2 linked regions of the Drosophila melanogaster genome follow. The protein of the gene in region 1 interacts with the protein of each later gene in a pairwise test. Each region holds a gene or a part of one and is shown in the gene's direction. Other genes may lie near its edges.

What was found. The genes of interacting proteins can lie anywhere in the genome.
Region 2: the proteins of Trax (region 1) and CG4045 interact in a two-hybrid assay, tested with the Drosophila melanogaster proteins (one large-scale study listed by BioGRID).

Annotation. Positions count from the first base shown.
Region 1 is NT_033777.3:15,359,692-15,363,446, forward strand, and holds Trax (translin associated factor X), read left to right. Parts: upstream 1-2,000; 5' UTR 2,001-2,133; coding exon 2,134-2,846; intron 2,847-2,896; coding exon 2,897-3,080; 3' UTR 3,081-3,159; downstream 3,160-3,755. Other genes in the region: Cog2 (component of oligomeric golgi complex 2), read right to left, coding at 1-616, 671-1,741, 1,794-1,886; CG6171 (uncharacterized protein), read right to left, coding at 3,195-3,406, 3,461-3,624, 3,686-3,755.
Region 2 is NC_004354.4:2,074,278-2,077,860, reverse strand, and holds CG4045 (uncharacterized protein), read left to right. Parts: upstream 1-1,960; 5' UTR 1,961-2,040; coding exon 2,041-2,192; intron 2,193-2,242; coding exon 2,243-2,654; intron 2,655-2,721; coding exon 2,722-2,823; intron 2,824-2,889; coding exon 2,890-2,994; 3' UTR 2,995-3,064; downstream 3,065-3,583. Other genes in the region: CG4025 (uncharacterized protein), read right to left, coding at 22-409, 522-643, 714-778; Rtca (RNA 3'-terminal phosphate cyclase), read right to left, coding at 3,065-3,583.

The DNA of each region.
Region 1 (3,755 bases):
TCTGCTGGGCAAATGCCTTCAGCGGTCGCAGCATTTGCTCCACATAGCTCGAACATCGTGTGGGAACCTCTCGATTCGTCTTGCGATACAGCCGCGGCAAGTCGTTTACCTGTCGCACATTTTCCGTCTCGCATTCTCCGATCAGCAACTCCACTAAGGTCTTTTGTATGTTGGTCAAATGCGCACCTAGCGTGTCGGCTAGGCAGGACATCGATTTGGCCAAAACGTCGCTAAAGATCTTCGTACACTGTTCAACGGGCACTGATTTAATAATCAATTGCTGAAGCTCTGGCAGATGCGCGTCAAGTTTGCGAATGTCAGCATGGAGGGCAATAAGCAACTGGTTTCGAGTGTAGGGCTTAGAAAAGTTGCTGCCTTTCGATTGAGTAATTGCATCCGTGATCCAGCGCGAAAGACGCAGTACCACCTGCACATTAAGTTTGTAAAATTTCGGAAATACTTCGGGTAGGTAAACTCCCTCGGCCCAGCACCGTGTCATAGCCTCCTTCGCGGCATTAAATGCGGATATTTTGTAGTCACTATCGGTGAGATTATCTTTTAAACTATCCTCCTGGAGCACCGGCTCCAACTGGGCTTCAAATTTACCAGCAATTTCCTAGAAGCATTTCACATTAATCGAAAATTCTACTATATAAACTTATTTACATACTTGAAAGCATATTTGGAAGTAAACCGGAAGATTCCAGCGAGCCTCAAAACTTTTTGTTTGCTTGTGCTGGCGATAGAACGTTACGGCCTGCTCTCCGGAGCAGGTCAATAGCTCCTCTATTTTGCCCAGGAAATCGCGAGTGCACTTGTATTTTACATAGAACACCTCCGAATTGCCAGGCGCAAATATGGAATTCATGTGCAGTTCGAGACGCGTCTCCACATCAGACCAGTAACTATTAACCACGAAGTTAAAGCCCGGAAACTTATCAGAGTAAAGCGTAAGGCGCAGCAAATCGGTCATATGCAGCGATATAAAGTTGAGGATCTTGCTGTAGATGCCAGCTAATCCCTGCGGCGAGTTTTGCAACTGTTGTTCGCCAATGACGCCCGTCATATACGGTGCCACCACATCCTCGCGGAAGGCGCACTCTGCCTGATCACAGGCATTTAGAGTTATGTAGATCCGCAAGCAGCGCTCTAAGGATTCCGGTGCCGAGTTGCGTGCCTGGCTAAGGGCGTCATTGAAGAAGCGTCGCAGATGCTGATGCAATTGCTCTTCTAGCTGTTGGATCTTCCCTTGATGGTCGGGACTTAAGTGCTTGAAACAGTGTTTCTCATGGAACTTCAATTGAATCAGGTCCAGAGCAGCGCGCTCCAGGTCAACGGCCTTAATTGGTTGTTCCCCGCTGAGCTTTCGGTCGATTAGATCCTGAAGCTTGTTAATGGTCTCATACACTTTCTTGAGGCTCTGCAGACCGCGTTTGAACTCGCGAAGCTGACGCTTTTCCTCCAACTGGGCCCGCAGCTCGGTCACGTTCTCATCTATCAAGCCGTGAATGCTCTCGATGTCGCTGCGGAATTGCTCCAATGGCTGTTGAATGGTCTTTATATTCTGGTCCAGTCCCACCAGGTTTGCGCTCAAGTTTACGAAGTCTGCGTAATCCTCGTTGATCAAATCTATCATGGCCGCCCGCAGACCTTTGAGGTAAAGGCCCAGGTTGTCGCGTAGCTGCTCCAGACTGGGCGCATTGCGGTTCTTGTGCAGAAACTCATCCACCGAGAAGTTTGCCTGTTCGAAGTAATTTTAGCAAGGGAACACATATCTGACATGGATTACTGACCTTCATAAACTCATTCTTGTCGAAGCACAGCTTCTCCGCTGTGCTGGTGGAGCCAGCGGTCAAGTGAGCCGACTTTTTGACCGGATCATGCATTGCCTTAGGGCTGGAATTTAATTATTTGTATATTTTTAACAAATTCTTGCCACGAAAGTTTCTCGGGTCTTAGCACCGATATCAGGTGGCGATATTTGTCGGCAACTATCGATATGGTTAATACCTCAATTATCGGACATTTGTTTACAATAAATTTTTTGCCGACGCGATTGAAAATCTAAAAAAATAAAAACAAAAAAAAAAACATATTTAAGCCGTTCAAATAGAATCGCGTAAGATATCAATAATGCCGAAAAACGGAGGTGCTGGTCACAGGAACACTGCTCCCAGGAAGCGCCAAATACCGGCTGCCCAGCTGGATGAAGACAGTCCCATTGTCCAACAATTTCGAATTTATTCTAATGAATTGATCATGAAACACGATCGCCACGAGCGAATTGTCAAGCTGAGCCGTGACATTACCATCGAGTCCAAGCGTATCATCTTCCTGCTGCACTCCATTGACTCGCGTAAGCAGAATAAGGAGAAGGTCCTGGAGGAGGCACGTCAGCGACTGAACAAGCTGATCGCGGTTAACTTTAGGGCTGTGGCCCTGGAACTGCGCGACCAGGATGTCTACCAGTTCCGCAGCTCCTACTCTCCAGGATTGCAGGAGTTTATCGAGGCCTACACCTACATGGAGTACCTGTGCCACGAGGATGCTGAGGGCGAGAACGAAACCAAGAGCGTTTCAGATTGGCAGGCCATTCAGGCGGTGATGCAGTACGTCGAGGAGAGCAGCCAGCCAAAGGAAGAACCAACTGAAGGCGAAGATGTTCAGGCTATAGCTCAGGTTGAGAGCCCAAAGAAGTTCCAGTTTTTCGTAGACCCCACGGAATATATACTTGGACTTTCGGATCTTACTGGTGAACTGATGCGCCGCTGCATAAATTCGCTAGGCAGTGGAGATACAGACACCTGTTTGGACACCTGCAAGGCCCTGCAGCATTTCTACAGCGGGTTGGTTAGTTCTCCCTTAAGAAACTCAATTAACTTCCTATTGTTTTCAGTTACATCAGTCTAAACTGTCAGAGAGCCCGTGAACTATGGCGTAAGATCACTACCATGAAGCAGAGCGTTCTTAAGGCCGAGAATGTTTGCTACAATGTAAAAGTTCGCGGCGGAGAGGCTGCAAAATGGGGCGCCACTTTTGATCAAAAGCCAGCCGATGAAGTTGACGAGGGCTTCTACTAATGGAACTCCATAGACATAAGTTTTCATCAACAGAATATAATATATATATATAAAGCCTATTATTCGGCAAATGGAACGTATCATCTAAGTTAACAGCGAATTTGAATTTATAGTCTAATCATAGTCATCCCCACTTATTGGTTGGCTATCAAACTCCAGCTCATCATCCTCATCTTCGTTTATGTCTGCGCCTGGACGGTAGTCCGCATCCCTGTCATTGTCGCCACCAAAGGGTTCATCCTCCTCATCCGTCCCCGAGTCATCGTCGTTCTGCCGTTGGGCTCGCCGTTGACGCAGACGATTTCGAATGTTCTGCGCGGAATTGACTACAATGGGCTTTAGCCAATTTGAAGCCGAAGTATGCCAAGCCTTCTACTTACAATCCGCAGGATGGGAGTAATCCTGGAAGTGAACTGGGTTACGGCGATAGCATGCGTTACCGAAAGGACAAGCTGGAGTTCCGAGGGGTGGCGCTGGAAAGTTTGGTCGCCGGTAATCCTGATCCCCCGGATGAGCTTCTGCACTACGATGAGCTGGATTTCGCCTGTCATTGGAAAAAGGTATATTTTTAGTTGGTAATATGGGAGTTGGTTAGTGTGAATCACCTGTAGCATCGTATGCCGAAGCGACAAGAAGTCCTAATACTGCTTGAAGATACGGTAGACTCGTCGGCGG
Region 2 (3,583 bases), on another chromosome or scaffold:
AAAGACAGTCTGCAGACTCACCACTTTCGAGGATTCTGTCCTTTGAAGAGGATGTGCGACATCACGCCGGTGACCGCCAGCAGGATGAACAGGATCGTGCAGACAACGGACATGCCCAGCCGCAAGTGAGCGTTAATGCGGGTACCCGACATGGGGAAGATCAGATACGAGATGAGCGCCTGCATCCAAAAGTACAAGGTGCCGCAGCCGAAGCAGCAGAAGGCTCCGATGAAGTGGACAATCCGCACGTTCGTCTCCTGAAAGTTGCCCACGAAGCTAATGCCCAGGCAGGACACCAGTCCGAACCACAAGGCTAGTCGGTTCTGGCGCAGCACCGACCCGTCCAAATCCGGATGGTGTTCATAAAGCTGCAGCACCTGACGGTAGCGTACGTAGATGGTAATTCCAACTGCAAAGCATGAGACACTTAGAAAGTATAATCACACCGCTGCAAGAGCGTCTAATCAACAGATGACTCATCGTCTCTGGAGACGAGACGGGATGCCGGGAGAGGAACTCACGCAGAACGCTGCCTATGTTGATAAGCTGCCCGAACACACAGCTTTCCGGCGAGTAGGTGGCCGCATCGCTGATGTAGGGAACCGTGGGCACCACATGCCCCTCCAGCACGGCGAAGATGTACCTGGAGACCAATGAGACGTCAGTCGGGTCAGAAAGCCCGGTAATCGGGGAAGCACCCCCTGCGTACTTACGTGCCAAGAAAGGTGACCTGGAATATCAGGAACGTGAGCACCGGCAGCAAGTAAACCTGTGACATCGCGCTAGGGAATGGTGTATCCGGGTGGTGGTAAGTTGCAGCACTGGCCACAACTAACGTATCTTATTTAATTGCGCTGCAATAACACGAACAAGGGAGCGAAATGTTTGGGTCTGTGGCAGTGCTGCTCAATCGGCTAAATTATAGCCGCTTAGCCGAAGTTTAGTATTTTTGTTTGGCGGATTTTTGGATTGCTCCATGGCGCAAAAATTTGATTTTACCTTTTTTGGGGTAACCTTTGAATCTACGACACTAGGCGAACAGAAAAAAGAATAGGGCGTGCATCGATCAGCTGATTACTTCTCAAGCTCAAAGTACTACGAAATTTACAGTTATTTCAGGCCTGTCGTGATTGGCTCTAGTGTGTATGTGCTTAGTTGCAAATTAACGGTTAACTTCCCCTCTTGATTTTCTATTGGTCGAATATTGACTGGAAATGCATAGACAGCAGCCATCATGAATTATATCAGATGTTTTGGTTTTAATCTGTGCTGCCAACTGACAACTGCTATGATTTCTGTTTGCCTGGTGTCGGAAACCAAAAACGATACAAGAAAATAAAGATCTCGTCCGCGGGCTGAAACAAGACTTAGTACAAAATAGCAACTTTCTCTGGGTTCAGACACTAGTCGAACATAATTTTCAGGAGGTGACCAAGGACCATTTGGTTTCATGGATTTTGTCACATTTTACTGTAGCTTTCTCAAAGTTAATTTACGGTTGCCTTCCACATAGCTATTTCCCATTGGTCGAAAAATTACTGGAAAACAAAACAGTTATTTTCATGTTCTTGCGGAAACCAGCTGGCACCTGCTATGATTTCTGATCCCCTGGTGTCGAAACCAGGGAAACTTTGCATTTTATTGCGTCGAAAATGGTGCATTACAGTGGTCCAAATACCTCGTTTACCTCGTAATAAAACTTTAATCATTTAAATTTTTTGCAACAAATCATGATAACCCTTTCACAAAATTGGAAATCAAGTGATGGAAATTGTTTTTATATGTGATTAGCTTTGCGAAACATTACTTTTTCTAATTGTGTAATTCTTAGCCAATAAATGAATATTTACTTATCAAAATATAAGTATTTTTAAAGTTTTCTGATTTTAAACGAAAATATCGTTTGAATGCCCCCAACGCAAGCGAACGTATGCCTCGGTATATTTTAGTATATTTATGTAGTTTTCAAAAGCGTTCGCAACGTGCTGCTGCTTCTCCTCGTCGGTGCCTGATATCACTCGCTTCTGCTAATTTCTAGTAATGGTGGCCACCGGTGGACAGGCTCAGGATCAGGGCCAGAACCAGGAGCCGGATGTGCTAAACCCCACGTCGGCGGTGACGGGGTTGCCACAAAAGCGCTACTACCGCCAGCGTGCGCACTCGAATCCCATTGCGGACCACAGCTTCGACTAGTGAGTAGACCACGAAATGGACTGCACACACTAAAGGCTCCTTCACATAGTCCTGCTCGCCCGGAAGATGTGGACTGGCGCTCCATGTACCCAGGCATTCAGCAGGGCCAGCAGGTAAGTTTTGCGGACATAGGCTGCGGCTATGGCGGCTTTCTCGTCACCCTGGGGGAGATGTTCCCCGAGAAGCTGTCCATCGGCATGGAAATCCGCGTCAAGGTGTCGGACTACGTGGTGGACCGGATTGCGGCACTGCGTCGACGATGCGCGGATACGGGTGCATACCAGAACATTGCCTGCTTACGCACCAACGCCATGAAGTATCTGCCCAACTACTTCGTAAAGGGCCAGCTGGAGAAGATGTTCTTCCTCTACCCGGACCCACATTTCAAGCGCGCCAAGCACAAGTGGCGTATTATCAACCAGGCTCTACTCTCCGAATATGCCTATATCCTCAGGAAGGGGGTAAGTCCAACAGTTTCCTGAAAGTACTCGAAATGCGGTCTGCTTACTGCTTAGTCTGCTTACCCAGGGTCTGTTGTACACCATGACGGACGTTGAGGACTTGCACAAGTGGATAGTGACACATATGGAGGAGCATCCGCTGTACGAGCGTCTTACCGAAGAGGAGGCCGTACGTAGTTCAAAACCGAGATCACGCAGCCAAGTCACACATTAATCATTACGTTTAAACCCACAGAATGCTGATCCCATCACCCCGAAGCTGTACCAAAGCAGCGAGGAGGGCGCTAAGGTGGTTCGAAACAAGGGCGATCATTTTCTGGCCATTTTCCGGCGCCTTTAGGACACGTATATTCTCTATATATGTAGACATTAATTTAAGGTTTCCTTAGAGTAAAGAGATCTATCGATTGTTAAATCAACTTGTTCACATGTCCCAAGCCCTTGCAGCTGACTAGCATCTGGCCGCCGGGCTCCATCGCCACATCGAACTTGACCCCTGTCATTTGCTCGGCTACATTGATGGCGGTGCGCGTGTGATTGGTCAGCTTGCCTGTGCGCATCGTTGAGCGGCCCACGGCCAGGGCCATGTAGATGATGAGCTGGTCCTGCATGTAATCATCAACGCAGACCTGTTTGCGCATGTAGTCGCCCAGTTGGCACGACGCCTCTGAGCCGAGAACGTGTCCGTCGATCCTCTTTTTGCCCAATGCAGAAGCACCTAGGACAACGTCGGAGGTCGTGTTGACAGTCATCAGGATGCCGGCTCCGTTGTGGAATGCCTTCTGGCGTGAATGCTTAATCGGCTCGATGCTGCACTGCTGGGACGGCCACAAACGATGTATCTCGCGTTGAGCCGTCTGTTGCATGTCAATAGCAATATTTACCGGCAAGCGGCCGGCGCAGTAGGCCACTCCGCTGACCGATTTGAT